Tamandua tetradactyla: one gene and its partners. The protein of the gene in region 1 purifies or fractionates together with the protein of each later gene. This does not show direct contact. Links are inferred from orthologs where the notes say so. Each region holds a gene or a part of one and is shown on either strand. Other genes may lie near its edges.

Region 1 (7,319 bases):
CAAATTGAAGTTCTGAAGTTCTGGAACTGGTTATTGAGGCTTCTTATGGGCACAAAAGAGCTACTGAAGAGGCAAATGCCAAGTGTGGGAGATACTTCCCGTCCTCCTAAATTTCTAGCAACTGTGTGGACTTTAAACGGAGCTGGTAGTAACCGTGGCTGGCCACTGAGGCCTAGCCAAGGTCAAAGTCTAATGCCTATCTCATGAGGAAGGACCGCAGGGGCTTACTGGTCTAAATTCCAGCTAGAATTCACTGGACTTGCTTCCTACGGACAAGCTGGGGGAGTCCCATCCCAAACAGATGAGACCACATGGCAGGAGGCAGAGCCAGAGGTCTCCAAGCACAAGTACAGGAAGTACTTAAGCCTATGTATGAGGTAGGGTGGGACTCCATGAGACCAGATATAGTTCTGGCATTGTAATAGTGATTGATGGTAATTAAATGAAGACTTTTTTTTTTAAGTTAGTTCTTTTTTTCCACTACAAAATTTTGAAAAAAAAAAAAGATGACATCATAAAAATCAGCCACAGTCCCACCACCAAAAGATAGCTATTGCTAACAATTTAATATATTTATTTTTAGGCCATTTTAATGTAATTGTAAAATATAGTTGTCATCAAGTCATTTGTAACATATTGACTTCTGCTCATCCCATTTAATATTTTACTATAACCATTTTTCTGTGTAAATAAAATGCCTTAGACATATCTGAAGTTGATGTATTTCTGATGGCCAAAGTAAAATGTAATCATTTTAAAAACTGGAAAGAACAGAAAAAATAAAAGAAGGGGAGGAATCACCTGTAATTCATCACATAAAGGGACTTGTTCTACTCTTACTACTAAAATGATCTAGTCTGCTACAGCAGCTGTTGATAGGCTAATTTTTACTGGCAGCAAGGATCAACTCTGATACTACTTTTGGACCATAATTCCAACTGTTTTTGCAATTGCAACATTCTTTCATCATTTGCTTTCACAACAAACCCCTATCGAGGGAAGTGCTGTGTCACATACTCAAATAAAGAAATGCCTTAAAATTGACTTTCTCTGGCCAGTAACCCTTTCCAGGGCCCTCAAAACTACTGCTGGAAATATTACAGAAGAGGTCTAGTGTCATGATATCTTTAGGGAATGATTTGGCTTTCATTTTTTCCAGTAGCATGCAGTTTTTCAGAGAAAGCAAGTGGGAAAAAGAGAACCATCAATCCACTAGTATATCTATCAGACATTCTATGTTTTGTTGTTTCAGTTTCCCAGCTGCTAAAATGAATACCGTACAATGGGTTAGTTTAAAATGGGGACTTATTGGTTCACAGTTTTGAGGCTAGGAGAATTCTGAAATCAAGGCATCAGAAGGTGATGCTTTCTCCTTGAAGACTGTAGCAGTCTGGGGCTGGCTGCGGGTGATCCTTGGTCCTTGGTTTTTCTGTCATATGGCAATGTACATGGTGGCTTCTTCTCCTTTCTCTTCTAGGTTCCATTAACTTCCAGCTTCTGGCTGTTCCTGGTGGCTTCTTCTTCATGTCCAAATTCTTTTGCTTATAAGAACTTCAGTCATATTGGATTAAAGCCCATCTTTATGCAGTTTGGGCCACCTCACCCAATAACATCTTCAAAGGTTCTATATACAATATGTTCATACCCACAGGACCACCTACAGGAGTTGGCACCTGAACATGGCTTTTATAGGGGACCTATTTCAATTCCTAACATGAATTTTCACTGTTCTGTCCACATGCCTTGTCCAGTCTTCTTGTGGCCAGTGGCTGGATATTCTGTTAGCATTAGTCTGCTGTTACGTAACAGAAGCAATCAGGCAGAGAGGTCACTAAAATGATTACCTTGGCCTTAACAGTTCCTAAGTGACTGTGGTTGCAGTAACCTAAAGTAATATACTATAATAATCAATGTCTTCCCTCTAGTGCTAAAGTTCAATTTAAATCAATCAATTATTCTGGATATATATGATGATTAATTGCTATATTACTCAGTTCACATAGCTAATCTTACCAGCTTCTTTAGAAGGGAGAAAGGACCCATAGGGCTTACTTTTATCACTTTATTTCTTCCATTTTGTAATCTTAAACAAATTCCCTCAAATGGCCAGAGTCCCAAGTAGCTGCTATTACTTTTTAGCTGACTGCACAGATTCAAAATCTGGTTAAGAGTGAAATTCTGTGTGTAGATCAACTAATTTTTATTGTTGTTCCAAGTTAAACACCAACTTAATATGCCTGATTCTGTGGATATGATAGTGGACAACACAAACACACACAGGTGGATGGGAAATTAAACATGCCATATTAAAAGTTAATTAAAATATGGAAATTATACAATGCCATGAATTTACTGGGTGTTAACTGAATGATAGGCACTGTTCTAAATGCTGGGTATAAAACAAAGTTCATGTTCTTATGGAGCTCATTTCTTTACACAATCTGTAGGTTCCAATTCTACACTCCAAGATCAGAATGAAGTAAAAAAATGAGGAATGGAGGGTACATAAGGAAATGCCTTCTGGGGGATATTAAAAAGTAAAGAGGCCCTAGTGAAAGAGCAGAGTAAAAAAAGTGAGGGGCAGAGGAGGAAAAAGGGGAAGATCATATCAAGGACCTTATCTATTCAAGATTTATTTCTGTTTCTTTAGGACAGACTACGTTTAAGCCATCTCCGTAACCCACCCAACTAACACAATGCCTGGGAGAATAATTTCAAGTGTAGATTTATATGGCCAGATCATTCACTTACAAACTGTGGGGTCCCAGGCAATTACAAAATGTTTTAGTTTCCTGATAGTAAAATGGAGATAACAGCACCTGCTTCATAGAGTTATTTTATTTAATAATAACAGCTGACAGGCAGTGCTTATTATGCGCTAGATACTGTCCTAGGCACTTCAAATATGCAAATTTTCTCTTAATCCTCATAACAATTCTATGACGTAGGTATTACTGTTCCCACTTTATGCATGAAGAAACTGAAACACAGGGAAGTCACATAGCTTGCTCAAAGTTATAAAACTAGCAACTGGCAAAACCAGGAATCCAACTTCACCTGTGCTTTTAATCATTGTTCACATTCCTTGTCAATAAATGGCATATAGCAAGATCAGAAATAAACTGGTGTGCATCATGAAAGGTTCTTTTCACCTCCTTCTATTCTTATCATTCTTTGAAATATTTATTGAACCCCTGTGCTGTCATGGAACTGTGACAGGTAACAGGTATAAAGAGTGAACAAAACATAACTGGTTCTTGCCCTCCTGGAGTCTATTGCCATTAATCAAATAATACAACTCTTCCAAGGTTTATTTCAGCCTTATCTCTTTTCTTTCACTTTGGTGTCTGTCCATCAGTCCTGAACCAGGGCAAGGGGAGCACTTAACTGCTTCCTCCTAGATGGTGACGAAGGATCAGGTAATTGGGGAAGAGCAGATGGGCCTTCCTCTTGCGAGTGACCTTGTTCTCCTTTCTCTCTGATTCTCGGCTTAAAATGGAGGGATTTCAACCAAAATGTTTTCTCCAATCTTCTGTGATCACTCTCCCCTGCCCCCACCCGCCAAGGCCTATCCCTGGGCTTGAGGTGCATTCCTGCCTTCTTGATCCCCAGGAGCCTTTTTCCTTCTTTGAGTCTCCTGACATTCCGGAGGAGATGCGTGACCTCTGCCCTGCCTCTCACGCCCAAAGGCAGTGCCCGCCAGAGGCCGTTCCCGTCACGCGTCACCGTTTTCCGCGTGGCTGCAAGTTCTCGGCGCCCCCACAGTTAGGCTCACCCAGCTCGCTGGGGCGCAGCCAAGCTCTGGCCTTTGACTAGAGGGCGGGGAGGTCATCTCTCGGCCCCGGGGACTTGAGGAGACAAAACGTGGCACACGGGGGCCCAGGTCGAGCTCAGCGTTCCTAAAGAAGCCCGTAGCGCCAAGGTGGAGCTTCCGACCCACGACCGCGGCCATTGTGCTCCACTGCTTCAGCCTCAGGGCCTGAGGTCATGGCGGTAACTGGGAGACACGCTGAGAGCGTCCCTAATACCACCCTTCCGGCCCGCCCCCCCTGCCCCCACGAAAATGTGTTTCAATCTGGGAAACAAACAAGGAAAATTTTTGGTTTCTTCTTGTGCTACACGAGGAGGACAAGGGATTAGAAAACCTGACGCAGGTGGTGGAAGACCGGAGGCTTACTAGCGCGCCCGGTCACGTGGGCCGCGGGGACCGCATGGCGTCGGCCCGCGCGCCTCCGCGCCCCCGCTGGCCAGGCAGCCCGGGCGCGCGCGCCGACGGGGCGGGCGCATGCGCAGGGGGGCGCGCCGCCTCTGCCCGGCGGCGAGGGTGTCTATGGAGAGGCGGTGGCCGCGGCTGCTGAGGCGGACGCTGAGGCAGTGGCGATGGCGCCCTTCCCCGAAGAAGTGGACGTCTTCACCGCCCCACACTGGCGGATGAAGCAGCTGGTGGGGCTCTACTGCGACAAGGTAACGGTGTGCCGCGGCCTCTTGCAGCTGGGCAGTGCAGAGTTGGAGCGGGCCGGGTTCCTCTGGCGGCCTGGCCTGCGTGGTGCCCGCAGCTCCCTGGGCCGCCGCCGCCGCCGCCGCATGAACTCCCGCCTGCGCAGCTGTCAGCGCTGCGTTCGCCAGCTCGCACCTTCCCGGGCCTGCCAGCCGCGGGGCCTCCGGGAGTCCGCGTCCCCGTCCCGCGCCGGCGGCCTCGGACGTGCCCTCGGGGCTGTGTTCTCCTGAGGGCCTGCGGGCGCGAGGAGGGGCGCGCCCTGGACCCCGGCCAAGATCCCTGGGCCGCACTGGGCCTCCCGCTCCACCCCGGGTGGTGGAAGGGAAGGGAAAACCTTCGGGGACCCCCTTGGTCAGCCACCTGCGGCGCGTTGCCAATCCGCACAGGGTAGGCCGTTTCTGCGGTTGTCCGCCTCCCCGGTCCGAGCCACCCTGTCCTGGGGCTCCCCGAGGCTCTTTGCAAACACCCATCCATCCTTCTCTGAATCTCTTCTTTGCTTCCTGGCCCAGCCGGCCTGTTCAGCTTCCAACTAGTCCCTGCTCATTTTCTTCCCAGCTTTTCATCCTGGTTTGATTTGGAAGTCAGACCAGGTTTCTTGGCTTAGGAACTAGAGAACTTGTACTATTCATTTATAGTTGCATTTTTCCTTGCACCTTTTATTGCCCCAAACATTTGCTGGATGTCGATTTTGTCATAAGGTAGCTCCTTTCTGTTGTAATTCTCTACATAGGCTCGAATAAAAGGGACCTCTGGTAAAGTTGGTTGAACTCTGCGAACCTTTTTCTATTCTTAATTGACGCAGCATAAGGTGAAGAAGTACTTTTGTGAAGATAGTTCAGGACCTTTTGCTAATAATTTACAAACAGTATTAAACTTCCACATATCTGTCAATTTACGGATATCCTGGAAATATCGGGCAGTTTTCATGGAGAAATGAGCCTGTTACGTAAGCATAGAAATCAACTTGTATGGATTTTCAGAAATTACATAGCATTAACCAGAACTACTATTGACAGAAAAGTATCTTACAGCCCAGTAGGGTGATTGGAGGAAACCTAGTGTTCAGTGCTTGGCCACATTGAAGCTCAACAATTTCAAATTGGTCAGGTTGAGTTTCAGATCTTAGCGCCCCCGCCCATAACCACCCTTCCCTCCCCCCATTTTTTTTTTTTTTTTTTTTTTTTTTTTTTTGGTGCATGGTCCGGGAATCCAACGCTGGTCTCCCTCCTGAAAGGCAGGCATTCTAACCACTGAGCTACCTGTGCACCCCCCTCCCCTCATTTTGAAGATTGAAAAAAAGCTGCTTTAGATGGAGCACTGTCTAGGATACTGGTTCTCATCTTTGGTTGCTCATAGAATCACCTGGGAAGATCTTAAAACTCTTGATGCCCAAGACCACTTAAATTAGGATCTCTGAGAGTGGGACCCAGAGGTTAAGTTTTTATAAGCTCTCTAGATGAGTCCATTGTGCAGCCAGGGTTGAGAACTATTTATCCAGGAGAAGCTTAAGGAGTGGATGAGTTGTTAAGCAGTAGCGGCTAACCCTGAATTCTTGAGTTAGCTTTCCCTGTAATGTTTTTATCCTTCTTGGCCTTTGAATTTAGTTCATTTGAAATTATTTCATTGCAATTATGAAATTAATGGGGAAGTTTTTTACTTCAAAATTTGAAGGTAAGGGAAATTTAATAAGGACTAATGGAATCTGAGGTCTTCAGTTTAGAGCGGAAAGATTCCAAGGACCACTTGAAATTGTGTGGAAAATTTTGTGCATGTGTACATCTTCCTAGACAGTCTAAGAAGATGAATCAGATTTTCAAATGATTGTGATCCTCTCCAAATAATTAAAACTCGTAACTTTATCTAGTTAAGTACTAGCCCTCCTTCCATTAACATTTTGAAGAAGGCTGTTACTATTTTTTCCCCCTGGTGAGAACGTTTCAACAAATTTTGAAAATGCAGTTGCCTAAAACAACAAACAATGGTACCTGAGTCAAATAAGATTCTTTTCAGTAATTAAAATGTTCCCTTTTGCAATTTGGCATAGCATAAGTCAGAATTACCCCTAATTCTGAGTTAATTAGGTATTGTTAATGAGATTTTTGTAGATCATCAACAAGAGTATAAGTTTAATTTTCTGAACTGTGGCTCAAACACTAAGGTGATGTTAAAGAAAAAAAGCTGCATGGAATTTTATCTCCTAGCTTCTTCTTGATACTAATAGCCAATGAAAATCTTTCCTAGACATTCTTGGGGGTAAAGTGGGCAAATAAGTATTTTCTGGTGGCTCAATATTCTTAAAGGAATAAAGGGAAGAATTCCTTTGTTGTTCAGTTGTCATCTCAAGTTTTACTGTCTCCATCCTTTGGTTGTATAGGCCAGGTATAACAAGTCCAATTTCATAACCCAATACCCAACCCAAACAGCCTAGAACTAGTTTTTATATTCAACTAAAAAGGTATGATGTGTGTTATTTCATTGTATTTTAAATTTTGAGCCTGAAAATGCCCAGCAATTATAAAGAAATTGGTTTTATTTCCAATATTGAACTTTTCAAGTACAATATATTTTAGAAGCATCATTTATTTACAAGCACTAACTCATTAATTAAATATGTTTAAGGTAGTCTACTTAGAATACTTTATTCTGAAGTTATTTTAGGCTATTTTATATATTGCTGTATAATATTTAAAAATTGGTCATGGATTTCTTCTTGCATTTTCAGAAGGTTTTATGGAAAGATTTTCCACCTTAGTTTTCCAGACAGCAATCCTTTGAGATTGGTAAGGGCAGGGTTTTTTTCTGTTTTATATCTGAGCCTAGG
Region 2 (7,451 bases), on another chromosome or scaffold:
AAGGCACGTCTCCCACAACAAGATAATCCAATCAGCTAAGGGCTTTTAAGGAAGACGACTCTTTCACTGCTTCTTCAGCCAGCAAGCCTTTCCTGTGAAGCTCATCCAGAGCCTTCATTGGAGCCGCCAGCTTCACAGCCTGCCCTGCAGATTTTGGATTCTTCTATTCCCATGGTTGCATGAGATACCATTATAAATCTCATATTTACAGATATTTCCTGTTGGTTCTGTTTCTCTAGCGAACCCTGACTAGCAAAATTGTGATAGCCCAAAGTTCCCTTTTAGACCATTTAAATCCTTCTTTCTGCCAGTTCAAAACTGGTTGTGTACCCCAGAAAAGCCTTGTTCTTTAATTCTGACTCAATATTGTTGGATGGGATCTTTTTGATTAAATTGCCTCCATGGAGATGTGACACACCCAATAGTAGGTGGAACTTTGTGATTAAGTATGTTTCCACCCATTATAGGTGGGTCACTTACTAGAATCCTTTCAGAGGGAACCATTTTGGAAAAAGCTTCAGAGCCCACAGAGAGAAACCTGTGGAGATGCAGAAAGAAAACGCCCCCAAGGAAGCTGTTTTAAACACAAGCCAAAGGACCAACAGACACCAGCCATGTGACTTCCCAGCTGACAGAGGTGTTTGGGACCAATTGACCTTTCTTGAGTCAAGGTATTTTTCACTGGAGGCCTTTTGAGTTTGGACAATTTTTATAGCCTTAGAACTGTAAACTTGTAATCTAATAAATTCCCTTTATAAAAGCCAACTCATTTCTGGTACATTGCATTCCAGCAGTATTAGCAAATCAAAACACTCTTCTTTTCTGCAAAGAACAAATAATTTATAACAGAGTGCTTGATGGTCTCACTTTAAAATTACATTTGGTTGCATAGAGGTTAACAGCACAAGCTCTAGAGTTAGACCAGCCTTGGTGCAAACCCAGTGTCACCATGTATGAACTTACTGAAGCAAGTTCTGTAATTGTTCTGAATCTCTGTGTCCACATCCGCACAATGGCAACAGTAATGTTACTAACCTCAAAGGGTTGTTGTAATCATTAAATGGGGCATTTAATGACATTTGTCTTTTATTATTAGTGATATTGAGGGAAATGGCACTTAGCTGTAAACAACTGCCCAGAGAGTCCTGACTCCCTGAGATGGCAGGTTGGGATTCTAGCACTTAGGCAGTAGGAAAGAGAACACAAAAATTACGTAGATGCCAGGGCAGGGGTGGGAGTGGGAGGTGGCAGGCAGTCAAGTGGATGCTAAGAACTATCTTTCCTTATTATGAATATAGTCTTTTATTTTTTTAGAGGAACAGGAAACATTTATTTCAAATGCTGAGGGCCTTCCTCAAAATAAGGAAGAAAGAAAACATATATTCAGCGATGAAGCTGGGCATTCTAGAGTTCCCTCAAAAATGAATTTCAGGAAAGATCATCTTATGCTTTGTTCTAGGTGTCTCCCCACCAGCCCATGTTAAACACCCTGAAGAGCAAACAGGCCATACAGGAAAAGAAAGGGTATGTAGAGGAAAGAAAGTGACGGTCAGTAACTCAGAGCCCACAGACTTGTACTGAGCACCTACCACGCACTGGGTTTGGGGTTGGGGTGATGAACACACTGCCCTCGGGGAGTGCAGAAGCTCCTTGGAGCCAATCTGCAGACATGCTAAAGCAGAGTCACCTGAAGTAAAAATTTAGATTCCTCAGAATCTGAGCACAGATTCCATCCTGGGCACTATTTTTAATAAGTGCTCTGACAATTCTGAGAAATACCCAGTTTGGTAACCACCACTAGTGTTTCTCAAAGTGTGATCTGACCAGCTACAACAAACTCAGCCCCTCTGGAGTGCAGCATGGGGGTGTTTATTTTCATACACACCCTGAGGCTTGAGAACCACTATGCAAGACTTTCTCTTACAGTACTTCTTTTCCATTAAGTGTGTGTGAAGTACATGCAAAGTTAGTTGGGTATAGTTTTTAGAACCTTTCATGTCTTTCCCATAAAGCTCAGATCCACTGAAAGATGGATTCTCAATAAATTAAGAAAGTCCAGTTGATACAAGTAACTGAAGTCAGCTGGAGTTAGGTATTCCTCAGAGCTTAAAATGTCTTCTGACTCATGGTTGTTCCTATAGTAGCAGAAGCTTCTGGCAGTTGAGACTGCTAAAGTACTACTGTTACCTCAACTGAAGTCCCTTCTGTCTCTAGCCCCAGGCGCAGAGCTGTGGTGCCTGAGCCCTTGCCACACCTGGGTGGCTTCCTCTCAGAAGGTCTATAAAGTGTAAACACTCCTCTAGGTCACTGGCAGAACTGTTAGTATCATGACAGAACTATTTATTAAGAGGTCCCTGTGTGAGTAAAGGAATAGGTCCTAAACTCCTAAAATATTTAACTTTCGTAACACACAATGAGAGCCAAATTCCAGATGTGGAAATCCGGATAAGGAAGAAACTGGATGGATGGGAGGGGAAAGAGATTGTTAAAGATATTGAATTCCCACTTTAGATGATGAACGACAGGTCCAGGGGTGACGCCCCATAAACGGCTGTAAAGTGTGCAGATCAGAAGGCCGAGCCCAATGATGGGGACATAGCAGGGTTCTGTTAGAGGTGGCAGTGGGTTTGCATAGAGTAAAAAATAAAGGAAAACTCATCGACGTAAAGATAGGGGAAAGAGAGTCTGAGAGACAGGGATCAAAGAAGAGACAGGATCATTAAAGCAGAGGTTAACATTTCAGGAGAAGACCAGTCACCAGTGTCAAATACCACAGAGCAGCATCTTGTCAACAAGGACAAGAACCTAAGAGAGGCCACTGGATATGCAGTCAGGAGGTGATGGTGACATTTCCAAGAGCAATGGAGTGTAGTGAAGGAATTATTTCCTTTATGTTTTTGGCCAGTGTTTCCTAGTAAATCTCAATTCCCTTTATAGTTCTGATTTAAATCTTTTCTATCAAAAGGCTTATCAATTATCATATTATTATGCAAAGTATCAAGGTTGTCATTGAGAAATTTTGCTTTCTGAAGGACTGTCTCACTAAGAATTGGAATTTAATTGGATGTGTTCTCTCCCTAGACCCATCCTTCCATCTATTCCTGCCCTTCCCATACTCTCCCTAACTTCCACAGGTACTCTATTACTATTCTTTTTCAGGGTTTGTGGTGAACGCCTGGCATATAGTGTACACTCAAAGAAAGTTTATTAACTGGTTATGAATGGAAGGGAATTAGGAATTGGGTGGGAAGAAAGTTCTTCTCCCACAATGGAAATACAGTAACTCCTCCTTTTCAAAATTTAATATAACTATTTATATTTCAAAATTAAATATAACTAGGAGATGGCTGTACTAAAGGGTAGCATGGGGAAAATGTAGGTTTGCAAGTCAGACAGGCCTGAGGACTGAACCTTCTGCAGAACATTTCACACCTGCATTATGGGGAATTATTCCTCACTTCCCAAAGCTGTAGAAAGAGTTGAATTACAGTGCAGAAGATGGGAGCAATCATTATTAGGATAAGCTATTAATTATTCACACTATAAGCTGTTTATCCACATACACAAGATAATAAAACCACAACTCACCAAATAATTTGGGCAAGAAAACCTTACTACCCTTGATCTATAAAGACCTAATAGCTTTTTTGGATTCAAGGATCTCAACATTTGCCTAAGAGGGCTTAGGCCATAACTTCAACGTACTTGACTATCAAGGCGGGTCCTGTGAGGGGCACTCAGTGCCCTTTCTCAGTTATTTCTTTGACTTCAGACTGGTGAACAAAATGCATTCTAAAGTGTTGTTACACGCTAAAACTCTTCTTTTTTAACACATAGAAACTTTGCATGACAAGCCAAGGAAACGTCGACTTCCTACCCAGCCAAAAGAATTAAAGAGTGGCGTGGGGGTAGGCGATGAGGCTAGGGGCGCAGCTGCAGGCAGTGCGGGGGAGGGGGGCCGGGGGGAGCCGAGGTGACTGCACATACTCGGAAGGTCGGAAAATGAAGCCTCTGACGTTGTGGCCAAATCAAATACTTAAAAAAAGAAAGAAAAGGCAAACAAAAAATCCGCATTTCTTCTCCACCCCTTCGGCTCATTTCCTAGCGCGGCCTGGGCAATCAAAACCTATTCCTCAAACCCAGCGAAAGGCACCCGGGCCCCAGGCCCTAGGCCCGTAGAGGTTAGCCCGGGCCCCAGGCGGTGTCCCTCCTCTTCCGGCCGCTCCACCATTGGCAGTCCGCCCTTCCAGCCGGGATCGGGGTGGGGGTCGCCCCGCCGGGACCAAGCAGGGCTGCGGTCGGAGGGGCGGGCGCCCGGACTGGCCGGGTCCGGGCTGCGCGCTCCGCCCCGCCCCTACTCCGCCCAGCGGTCGGCGGTCACCGAGGAGGCCGGAGGAGGAGCGCGGAGGCGGCGGCTGTACCCGCGCAGCGCCCGGGAGCGCGCCCAGCACCGTGGTGGCGGTTCGCGTGTCGCGGGACCCCTGTCGTGCAGTCCACGGTGAGTACCGACTCGGCCTTACAGACGGCCCCGGGCAGGAGCCGCCTCCCTCCTCTCCCGCTGGGGAGTCGATGAGACCCTTTTCCTCCGCGTCCGAGGCACTTTCCCGGAGCCCGGCTGAGGCGCGCAGAGCGGGTGGCCCGGCTTGGGGGCTGGGGGGCGCGAATTCGGGATATGGGGCGTGGGGCGAGGGGAAGCCGGAACGTATTGCTGGAGAGCGATTGACCGCTCTGCCCCAGCAGAGACTGGAAATGGCCCTTCTCGCCGGTCTTGGCCGAGGCAGACCGGGCCGCTCGGGGAGTCTTTACCCTAAGGCTGTGCGGGCCTCCCCCGAGACTCCTCACCCGAAGGGTGTGCGGGCCGCCCAGGGAGACGTCACCAAGGCCAGGCGGGTCGTATCGGAAAATCCTCATTGAGGTCGTGCGGGCAGATCGGGAAATCCGCACCAAGGGAGAAGGGACCCCTCGGTGGAAGCTCTGAAGCCTGATAGATTCAGAGCTCCAGGAAGGAGCGTGGGCTGCCCTGAGCCCCTCTCTCTAGTTTCGCCAGCCTTTCCCAGTTCATCCAGGACATCAGAATGGTGTTATCTGTCCACCTCTCTCCCCACCGCCGTCAAACATAAGCCTGCTCACGGGGAACAACCCCTAGGGACAGCAGCTTTCAAACTTTTGGGAACTCATTACTCATTAAATTCTTAGAAATTAGTGAGGCCCTGAGGAGCTGACATAATTTTACCATGCTAAAAATAAAACCGATGCGTTTTTAATGTTTAATCATTTAATAGGTTAATAATTCGTCTGAAAATAATGGTCAGCATTATTTCATGAAAAAGATGTATATTTCCCAGAACAAAATGTTGCTGAGAGGAGTGGCATTATTTTACATTTTTTGTAAATCCCTTAAATGTCAGACTTAATGGAAGAGGGCAGTATTCTCAGTTTTGTTTCTGCGCCCAGTCTGTCCTAATACCAGGTGTCGTGTAGCCTCAGGGAAACTCCATTAAGTACATTTGAAAACCTGGGAGTGAAAAAGGCAGAAGTGCCCTGAACCTCACTTTGAGAACTATTGGTGTAGGATATGCTTCAGAGGCTTAAATTCGCTGGCCCGGTTTCTTTTTGGCGAGCCTTCCTCTGAATGGGGACACCACCACCACTCCAGTCCATGAACAGTATTAACCTCAGTGTTGACCTCACTTTGGGGTCCACGTACTGGGTCTCTACATGAAAGTGATAGTGGAGAGTCGTGTTTGCCTCCTGAAAACGTGGCATGGTTCAGACCTGACCTTGCTGGTTTCCTTGTCTGCAGAACTGACTTGTCTGTGCAGCTGGATTACAGCAATGATGTAGCACACAGCACCTGTGGGCTCAGAGAAATGCCCATGGGAAGATGCTGCCAAGTGTGTAGGAGTTTGTGGGGGAGCCCTTTCGCCTTCCTTTTCATCATTTTTCTGTTCACAGCTGTGGGGTTGCTAGCCTTGAGTTTGTTGGGATTCGTTTCCCCAAATCTTGGTATTCTTTCTGCTTTCAGAGGTGTCTCACTATAAATGGCCCTTCGTCAGCCCCTGTCAGGAAGAGATTTCCAGCATCCTGGAGTGTGGTAGTGGGATTTTCCAACAGATTGTTTTCTTGGCTTCACGCTCAATTAGCACAAGTTTAAGACAAATTAAATCTATAAATCAAAGAAAAAAATGATCTGACCTCTCTTTTCCTCCATCCAGAGTCTCTCACACTTATGAGTCAGCTTGGCGCGCAGCTGATGCTTTAGAAATGTTACAAACACAAATAAACTTGTTTGCTGTTGCCCAGTCCACAGATGAGAAGGGAATGGGATCTGACCTCTGAGCAGCTCTGTTTTCTAGGGCCTGCTTGTTCTTCCTGTAAGACTCCGCTTGATGGTAGGATCTCATTCATTCATCCCTTCAGTCGATATTTATTAACCATTACTTATTATGTTCCCAGTTCTGTGCTGGACACTGGGAAAAGTTGTGAGCAGTCCCTGTCTTTCTAGAGCTTTTTCAGTCTTAGGAAACTGTTGGTTAATTGAGACAGCCGATGTGGTCCTGTGTGTTGAATCCTACCAGAAGTGTGATTCAAAACCATGTGCTGAAGAAGCTGGGGTTCTAACGTGACAATAATGATTAAATACAACCTTTATTCGGCACTTACCATGTGCGTGGCAAAAAGTTCCTTTTTCTTCTTTCCCCTACTCCTGTTACAGAGGAAGTAACTGCTGAGAGGCAGCTGGATTCCATACAAATGAGCCCAGGCCTGCTTCTAGTCCTTGGGGCCAGCCTTAGGCAAGATACTTTCTCTCTTTGAGCCTCAGCGTCCTTGTCTTTACAAGTGAGGGGGTTGGGCCTTTGATTGTAGGTGTCCCAAGAAGCCAGTGGTTTGCTGGAGCTGCTTTGTACTGACCTTTGTGCACGTTTCCCTCCTCCGAGTTCAGTGACATCATGTTGGTAGCTTGAAATAAGTTATTTGCGTCCATTTACATCATGGAATAGGGCAAGTGCTACACAAACCACCTGCCGCCCCCTCGCCCCCCACCAAATTGTCTTTTAAACATTTACCAGTGCACACCTGCTACTGTCAAATCCAGGGTACTTTCTGTTTTAATAGAAGAGGGATTCTTCAGGCTGGATGAAAACACTGGGCAATGCTGCTCCAAAGCTTTTGATAGGGAGAAAATATGCTAGAGCATGGGTCAGCAAACTGTTTCTCTTAAGGGCTAGTAAATATGTTGGGCTTCTCCAGCCATTCAGTCTTTATTGGAACTACTCAGCTCTGCTGTTGTAATGTGAAGCAGCCATAGTCAATATGTAAATGAATGTGTGTGTCTGTGTTCCAATAAAACTTAATTTATAAAACAGGTGCTATAGTTTCCTATCCTGGAATATCAGAATTGGGGCCAGTGCTTTAAGGAGTTTGTCTTATGGAAAAGGAAATTCTTCAGA
Region 3 (6,945 bases), on another chromosome or scaffold:
TTTCTGTCCCACGTTGCCAGGAAGGTCCACACCCCTGGGAGTCCGTCCCACATAGAGAGGGGGAGGGCAGTGAGTTTGCTTCTCCTGTTGGCTGAGAGAGAGAGAGGCCACATCTGAGCAACAAAAGGGGTTCTCTTGGGGTGACTCTTAGGCCTAATTTTAAGTAGGTTTAGCCTATCCTTTGCAGGGTTAAGTTCATATGAATAAACCCTAAGATTGGGGGCTCAGCCTATTGCTTTGGTTGTCCCCACTGCTTGTGAGAATATCAAGAATTCTCCAATTGGGGAAGCTGAACTTTCCCCCTTTCTTACCATTCCCCCAAGGGGACTCTGCAAATACTTTTTGATTCACTGTTCAAATCCTTCTGGGATTTATTGAGGCATCACTCTGGACAAACCTACAAAATCTCATGCTCTACTCAAGGTTCCATGTACTCAATTAAGCTGTCCACATAAGTTATACTAGGAAATGCATTACTGACTCCTATTTTTACCAAGAACCCACCAGGTTCTTGACAAAGACAAAATTGGTAGTAGCTGCCTTTGTGAGGAGGGGATGTTTCTTTTGCTTTTACTATTGTAGGAAACTCTGCTGCTATGAGTGGCTAAAAAGGAAGCACTAACAAAGCCTGACAGGCTGGAGGATTAGAAAGCACATCTTATTCTGAGGATGCTTCAAAACTGTCAGCCTTCAATAACCCTAAAAAGGGCAGTGATCTAAGATTGAGAATACCAATTTAAACCTCTAAACTTATCTTCTTTATACGGCTTCTTTGCTCAAGGATCTACAACCGCTATTCCTACAACAGGTCATTTAAATACCTCTGATTGGGATCCAATGTTATGCATAATTCAATCCCATCAAACACCAAACATTTCAACTTTATCTGTTACTTCTCCTCGTACCAACCTTCTTCATTTAGTCAGGAGACCAAAAGTACAACAGGCTTAGTAGTTACTGAGTTTTGGCTGGGCTGAGCTTGTTTTAAAGTAGACAATAGTTTAGGTCATTTTTTTCAGACAATAACAAAAAAAAATTTATAAACACGTAAAACTTGGCAGTCTCTTATCAGATTGTAGTCTCAGTATATTTTGAACCTGAAAAATCCAAAAGTATTGTTTCATAATATATAAATGTGAAAGAAAAATTTTAAATGACACTGGTATAATGTTTTATGTTGACAAGGGTTTGGATTGCATTTTTTAAAGCAACGAATGTTCACTTAAGGTATGTGTTCTTAATTGGATATAAATGTTTCACCTAAAGAGAAAGAAACTGTAAACAAATACTGAACTCTAATGATATGCAGGCTTAAGTATTTAGGGGTAAGCGTATGGATATCTGCAACTTAAATGGATGGATAAGTGATCAATCAAGTATATTAAAATGTTAATGGCAAAAAAGAGTTAATAGCAGGATCTAGGTGATGAGTGTATGTGGGCTCCTTATAAAATTCTTTAGACTTTGCTTATGTTTGAAAAAATTCACAATAAAACACTTGGAAAAATGACACTGGCACATATTGTACTCGTTAACACTGTCAACACTGATAACTCACTAAATTTATTGTAAGAAGTCAAGCTTCGTGGAATGGCAGAAGGGGGCATTTGTTCTCTGATGCTTCCATAGCATCTGAATACACCTCCTAGAACCCTTTTTATGGTCGACTGTGTTCGTAGTTGTCTCTCCCACCGCAGTATAAGTTTCTGAAGGGCACCAATCTGAACTGATTTATAGCTATATTCCTATTGCTTTGCATCATTTGAAGAATAACGTGTTCAGTAACGGTGGAACGAATGAATGAAAGCAGAATACTGCTAAGAACCAAAGCATTACATTTTTAGCAGACGCAATTTATTCATTTCTCACGTATTCTAAAAGTTAGTATCTCAGTTTTCAAGAGAAGCAATGTTCTTTACTTCTCCCCAGACATGCAAAATTTCCAAAAAATACCTTTAAAATACAAACTTACGGATACCTACAATATTATTTTGTATTCTGTGACTTATGCCTGAGGTCTGAAGGCCTCCTAACATTCAGTAACGCTTTGGTAGATAAATTTTCTTCTACAAAAGCACAGTATTAAAATTCCAAAGACACCTAATATTATTTGATTCAAATCTTAGGAAGCTGTCAGAACCAAGAGATTGCTGAACTGGTCATAAGCAGGTACTGGAAATGTAAGAAAAGATAAAACCACACTGCACATGAAAAACTTGAGAAGCAAATTAATCAAGAACTTTACGAAGAAACAGAGGGAGGACACTGAACATCTCAAACTGTGCCTAGAACGCCTTCCCTCCTCTCCCTCCAATTACAGCCAGTCGGTGGCCGGCGCCGCCCCGCCGCTCCCAAGATTCCACGCGACTGGTGCTGATGCCGCTGAAGCTGCATTTTCTCACGTCTACCTCCTAGATACAACGTGGTTTCCCCGTGAGAGCATCCGATGCCGAGTTCCAGCTCCCCGACCTGCCTGATCTGTGACACTCCGCAAGTCTCTTCTCGCTGTAACTCAGTTTCCTCATCTGTAAAATGGTAATGATTATCCTAACCCCGCCTCTCCTGCACAGAAGATGGTTACGGAAGACGAGGAGTGTAAAAGCGCTTTAAGGAAGATGCAAATAACTTTCAATTTTGGTACGGCTCTTAAGCACCCGGTGCTCCTGGGGACAGTCTCTCACAGTCACCTCTATCCCTCACTCTTCCCGCCCGACCCCCTGTGTGGAGGCCGCTCCCTCCTCTTGGACCCCATGCGGAAGCCGCGCGGCGCCGTCTGCCATACCTGCAGCCACCTGGTCAGCAGACCCCTCCTGCTGACCCACGACAAAGTCGTGCACGAGGTCCCACAGGGCGCCCGTAGGCGCCACTGCCTCCAAAGCGGTGGCGGCGGCCATGACACGAACTAGTGACCGTAGGAGGGGAAGTAGGTGGTGGCACGAAACAAGACTCTCCGCGCATGTGCTTCATGAGCCAATCGCTTGGCGAAGACTTAGGGGGCGGAGCGCTCCGCGGATCACGTGCCCGCCGGCTCCTCGCCTGGCAGTTCCAGGGAGGGTGGGGCGGCCCCTCCCCGAGGGGCGGGGCCTGAAGTAGGGGCGCTGGCGCGGGGAGTGCGACGGGTGCTGGGCACGCAGCGGGGGCCATTGAGGGCGCATAATTCCCGGCCCGGTTCCCGTGGAGACGGGCGACTGGGCGGGCACCTGGCTGGGTGGGGCCGAGGGGCGGTATGCACCCTGCGGGAAGCCAATGAAAAAATCAGGCCCGGCCCAAGGAGGCGGTGCCGTCGGTCACATGCGCACCTGGGGCGGGCGGTGGCGGTGCGGGCACTGCGAGCAGGCGGAAAGGAGCGGGGCCGGGCTGGGGCGGGGTTAGACAGGTGAGTGACAGGCTCCGGGGGGCCGGCCCCAGCTGGGAGCCCCGAGCGAGCTCCGAGTAGCTGCGGCGGTGCCCGCCCCCTCTCTCCGCCTCTACAGCGGAGCTGGTCTCCCGCCGGGCACCGTCGTGGGCCCCCCTGGCCCGGCCACCTGGTGGACTGTGCTGGGGAGTCGTCCCCCTCCTCTACCTTCGCCCGCAAAGTTTGTGGCGAAGCCGGCGCTGGGTCAGAGTGCACCCCCGGGGGGGAAATCGGGGTGCGCCCGATGCCGGGCGGCAGGAGCCGTTGACCTGGGACGCCGCGGTCCGGGGCAGGAGCGCGGAGCAGCCGTCCACCCACCCCCCCGCCTCCGGTGGATGGGGCCCGGCTGAGGAGCCAGCATGGGCAACTGCGTGGGGAGACAGCGCCGGGAGAGGCCGGCCGCCCCGGGACACCCCCGCAAACGAGCAGGTAATGACAGGGAAGGGAGCAGAGCAACGGGCACCTTGCCAGTTGTCCCCCCTTCTTACTGGAGCCCTGGACTTCCCGAGAGACCACTCCCGGCGCCTGGCGCTTGGGAATCCCCCGATGGCTGCTCGGGAGCGGGACGGGGGCCTCCTCCCCAGTCCTGGATGGCCGGGGGAGCTGAGTTGGGGCAACTGCGAGCGCTGACCCGGCTGCGAGACCGACTCGCTCCAACTGGGAAGCTCCTGGTGGGGGTGGGGGCAGGAAATGTTTGCAGACCGCAGCGGGGCGGACGGAGGGGGGAGGACCCCGGGCGAGGGCGCCGCTGGCCTGGCAGCCCGGGCCGGGGTCTGACGCCGGCCGGTTGGGGCACGGCGCGGGCAGCCAGGCGTCCCCAGAACTCGGAGCGAGCGAGACGAGCTCAGTCGATCCTTCCAAAGACTGTTATTATCGGGCTGCATATCGTGCTGCCCGAATCCGACTTGCAAAAGCAGCGCAGGGCTCTGGGAAGGAAATCTTTATTTTTCCTGCAGGGTTTTTAGAGTCTCCCGGCCGTCTGGGAATCTAGGAAAGGTGGAGTGAGGTGGGGGTGAGAATTTCTCCCTCGGGTTTGTTGGGATTCTTCCCAGCCTTTGGTATGGGGATCTCTTCGCGATTCGGGAGGGCCGGGTAGCGCCTTCTCACTTTCTCGGTACACCCCTCCTCCTATCCTGGCGCTTTGCCCCGGACACTCACTTCCTTCTCTGAGGATGTTGCAAGGATCTTCTGAGAATGATAAAATAGTAGACTTAGAAATTTGTCTAGATTCCAGATAGACCTACTTCCTCCTCCCTATCCAAAAACACAAATCCAGAGAGATTGAGCAACTTGCCCAAAGCCACACAGCTAATACAAATTGGGCCCAATTGCTACATATCCCTTTCTGTAAGAGGAATCACTGGCCTGAAGTTGTTAATGAAGTGGAAACTCTAGTTGCAGTTTCCTGCCTCTCTTTGACCCGTAGGTGTGTTACTGTGTTGTGGAACCTGGGAAGGAGAATGGAGTGAAGGGGGGGTGGACCTGAGGAAGAAGGGAAGGATGTCTATGTAGTGGACCGGATGACATATGGAAGGAAGAAATGTGTTTTTATAGGAAGGATAAGGTAAAACTTAAGATCGGAATCTTCTTATAGGAAGGCATCCCTAATCATTCTTCTGAGCAAAGTTAATTCTCAAACCCAAGGGACTTTCATTCATTCTTTCAATTTATTATTTATGTGCTTTCAATTTATTATTTATTTAATCAGTCCTAATAATTGATTTCATTGTATTTTTCACTGCTGACAGCCTCCCCTCCTTGAAACTTTCTTCTCCCTTCCCTTCTTAGCATTATTTTGGTTTTCCTCTTTGATTACTCCTACCTACCAAGCATCTCCTAGGTGGGTACACTCATGGTTAAGTTTCACATTGTTTTTTCTCTCTTTATACTCCCTCCCAGAGAAATCGTATTTGGTTCCATAATTGCTTTCCCCCTGTGCTATATATTCAGCTGTTACCTGTCTCTTGAACCCCATACCCACATCTCTAAATGGCTGCTGGACACTGATCTAGATATCCTCAGATTCAGCACCACTAGAGCCAAGCTCTGTATCTCTTCCCCCTTAATCTGTTTCCCTTCCTTACCCTTACATTCTCTGAGCTACGTAATTATACCTTGAAAAACTCCCCCACTGACTGTCTTTGTCTCCTAGCCAGCTAGTCACTGCTGACTCTTCCTTTCATGTGAGTTACAAACCTGCCCCTTCCCACTCTACTGCAAGGTCCTGTCACCTCGAGTCCTGCTTCTCTCCCAGTCTGAAGTCAGTTACCCACCAAAGGCAAGTTCATCTTCACTCACTCATCCGAAGCAGAGTGTCTATACCTAGAAGTTCCCCCAAAAGTAGTTTGTTAAATTGACCTATTCCAAACCCTGTAATTAATTTTATGTTGAAAAATCTTTCTGCATCTCCCTATTGTTTACAATAATCTAAACTTTTAAGGATATGTCTGACCCAGTCCTTCCTTTTGGGACCTGATTTCTTTCTCTTCCTTAACATTAAGGTCACCAGCTTGTACTTGTTTCATTTCCCCACCTCATCTTATCAAGAGTCGTTCTCCCCTTCATGGTCTACCCCAAATCCCTTATCTTTCTTGAAGCACCTTCCCTAACAAATCTCCTCCCACATCCAGTGGAAGAGATTGCTTCTTCTAAGAACTCCTGCAGATACATTATCTATGCTACTTACTGTATAATAATCTACTCCATATTACTGGTTATGTGGGTTTCTTTTTTAGCTGTGAAAAATAACATATATACAAAGAAAAGCAATAAATTTACCAGTGCATTTTAACAAGTAGTTATAGAAAAGATTTTAAAGTTTGGTATTTTTTTCATTTTTTCTTCTAGTTGCTCCAAGACACTGAAGACCAAAAGAAATATCAATATATTGATTCACCAGTCATATTCATTTGTTAAATCCTATCTTCCTTATTTTTCTCTTCCTTCTCTTTTTTTATAAAAAAAAATAGCATATATGTAAAAACAAAGCAATAAATTTCAAAGTACATCACAACAATTAGTTGTAGAACAGATTTCAGAGTTTGGTATGGGTTACAGTTCCACAATTTTAGGTTTTAAGTTGTTGGTCAGGTTTTTAATGTTTACATTCTTATACCAGCAACTACACTGCAAGCCTTGAAACCTGAATTCTGTCTTATTCTGGTGTGTCTCTGTTCCTCTTTCTCAGTCACTTACTCAAATAGTCATATACACACATACACATACGTATACATAGCATTTAGCACAATAACTTGTACAGAGAAAGCCCTCAATAATTGTTGAATTTAGAAAGCTAAACCTGACTTCATCCTACATCTGTATTTTTCATGTAAATATTTTACTGAAGTATTTATCTGCATTTTAAAATCTGTTGGTATATTATTATTTCACTTATGTGGATCTTACTATGAATAGCTTTATTCATAAAGTCCAAATCAAAGGGGGCACTCTAAGGTGACAGAAGTTTGGGTATAAAGAAGAAATCCTTAACGTCACAGTATGCACCTGGCATTTTTGTAACATCTGCAACTTACCCTTTGAGAAGGACATAA

What was found.
Region 2: the proteins of FBXL5 (region 1) and ACO1 purify together in Homo sapiens (affinity purification with western blotting; 3 studies listed by BioGRID, with this or other methods). This does not show direct contact. The link is inferred for Tamandua tetradactyla from reciprocal best matches to the Homo sapiens genes FBXL5 and ACO1.
Region 3: the proteins of FBXL5 (region 1) and MMS19 purify together in Homo sapiens (affinity purification with mass spectrometry; 4 studies listed by BioGRID and IntAct, counting the BioPlex papers as one, with this or other methods). This does not show direct contact. The link is inferred for Tamandua tetradactyla from reciprocal best matches to the Homo sapiens genes FBXL5 and MMS19.

What each region holds. Positions count from the first base shown.
Region 1 is NC_135345.1:14,980,751-14,988,069, reverse strand, and holds the start of FBXL5 (F-box/LRR-repeat protein 5), read left to right. Parts: upstream 1-4,285; 5' UTR 4,286-4,380; coding exon 4,381-4,464; intron 4,465-7,319.
Region 2 is NC_135328.1:63,547,844-63,555,294, reverse strand, and holds the start of ACO1 (cytoplasmic aconitate hydratase), read left to right. Parts: upstream 1-4,388; 5' UTR 4,389-4,498; intron 4,499-7,451. UniProt on the Homo sapiens protein: Bifunctional iron sensor that switches between 2 activities depending on iron availability. Iron deprivation, promotes its mRNA binding activity through which it regulates the expression of genes involved in iron uptake, sequestration and utilization.
Region 3 is NC_135339.1:58,807,044-58,813,988, forward strand, and holds the start of MMS19 (MMS19 nucleotide excision repair protein homolog), read right to left. Parts: upstream 3,099-6,945; 5' UTR 2,895-3,098; coding exon 2,783-2,894; intron 92-2,782; exon of another isoform or gene 1-91. UniProt on the Homo sapiens protein: Key component of the cytosolic iron-sulfur protein assembly (CIA) complex, a multiprotein complex that mediates the incorporation of iron-sulfur cluster into apoproteins specifically involved in DNA metabolism and genomic integrity.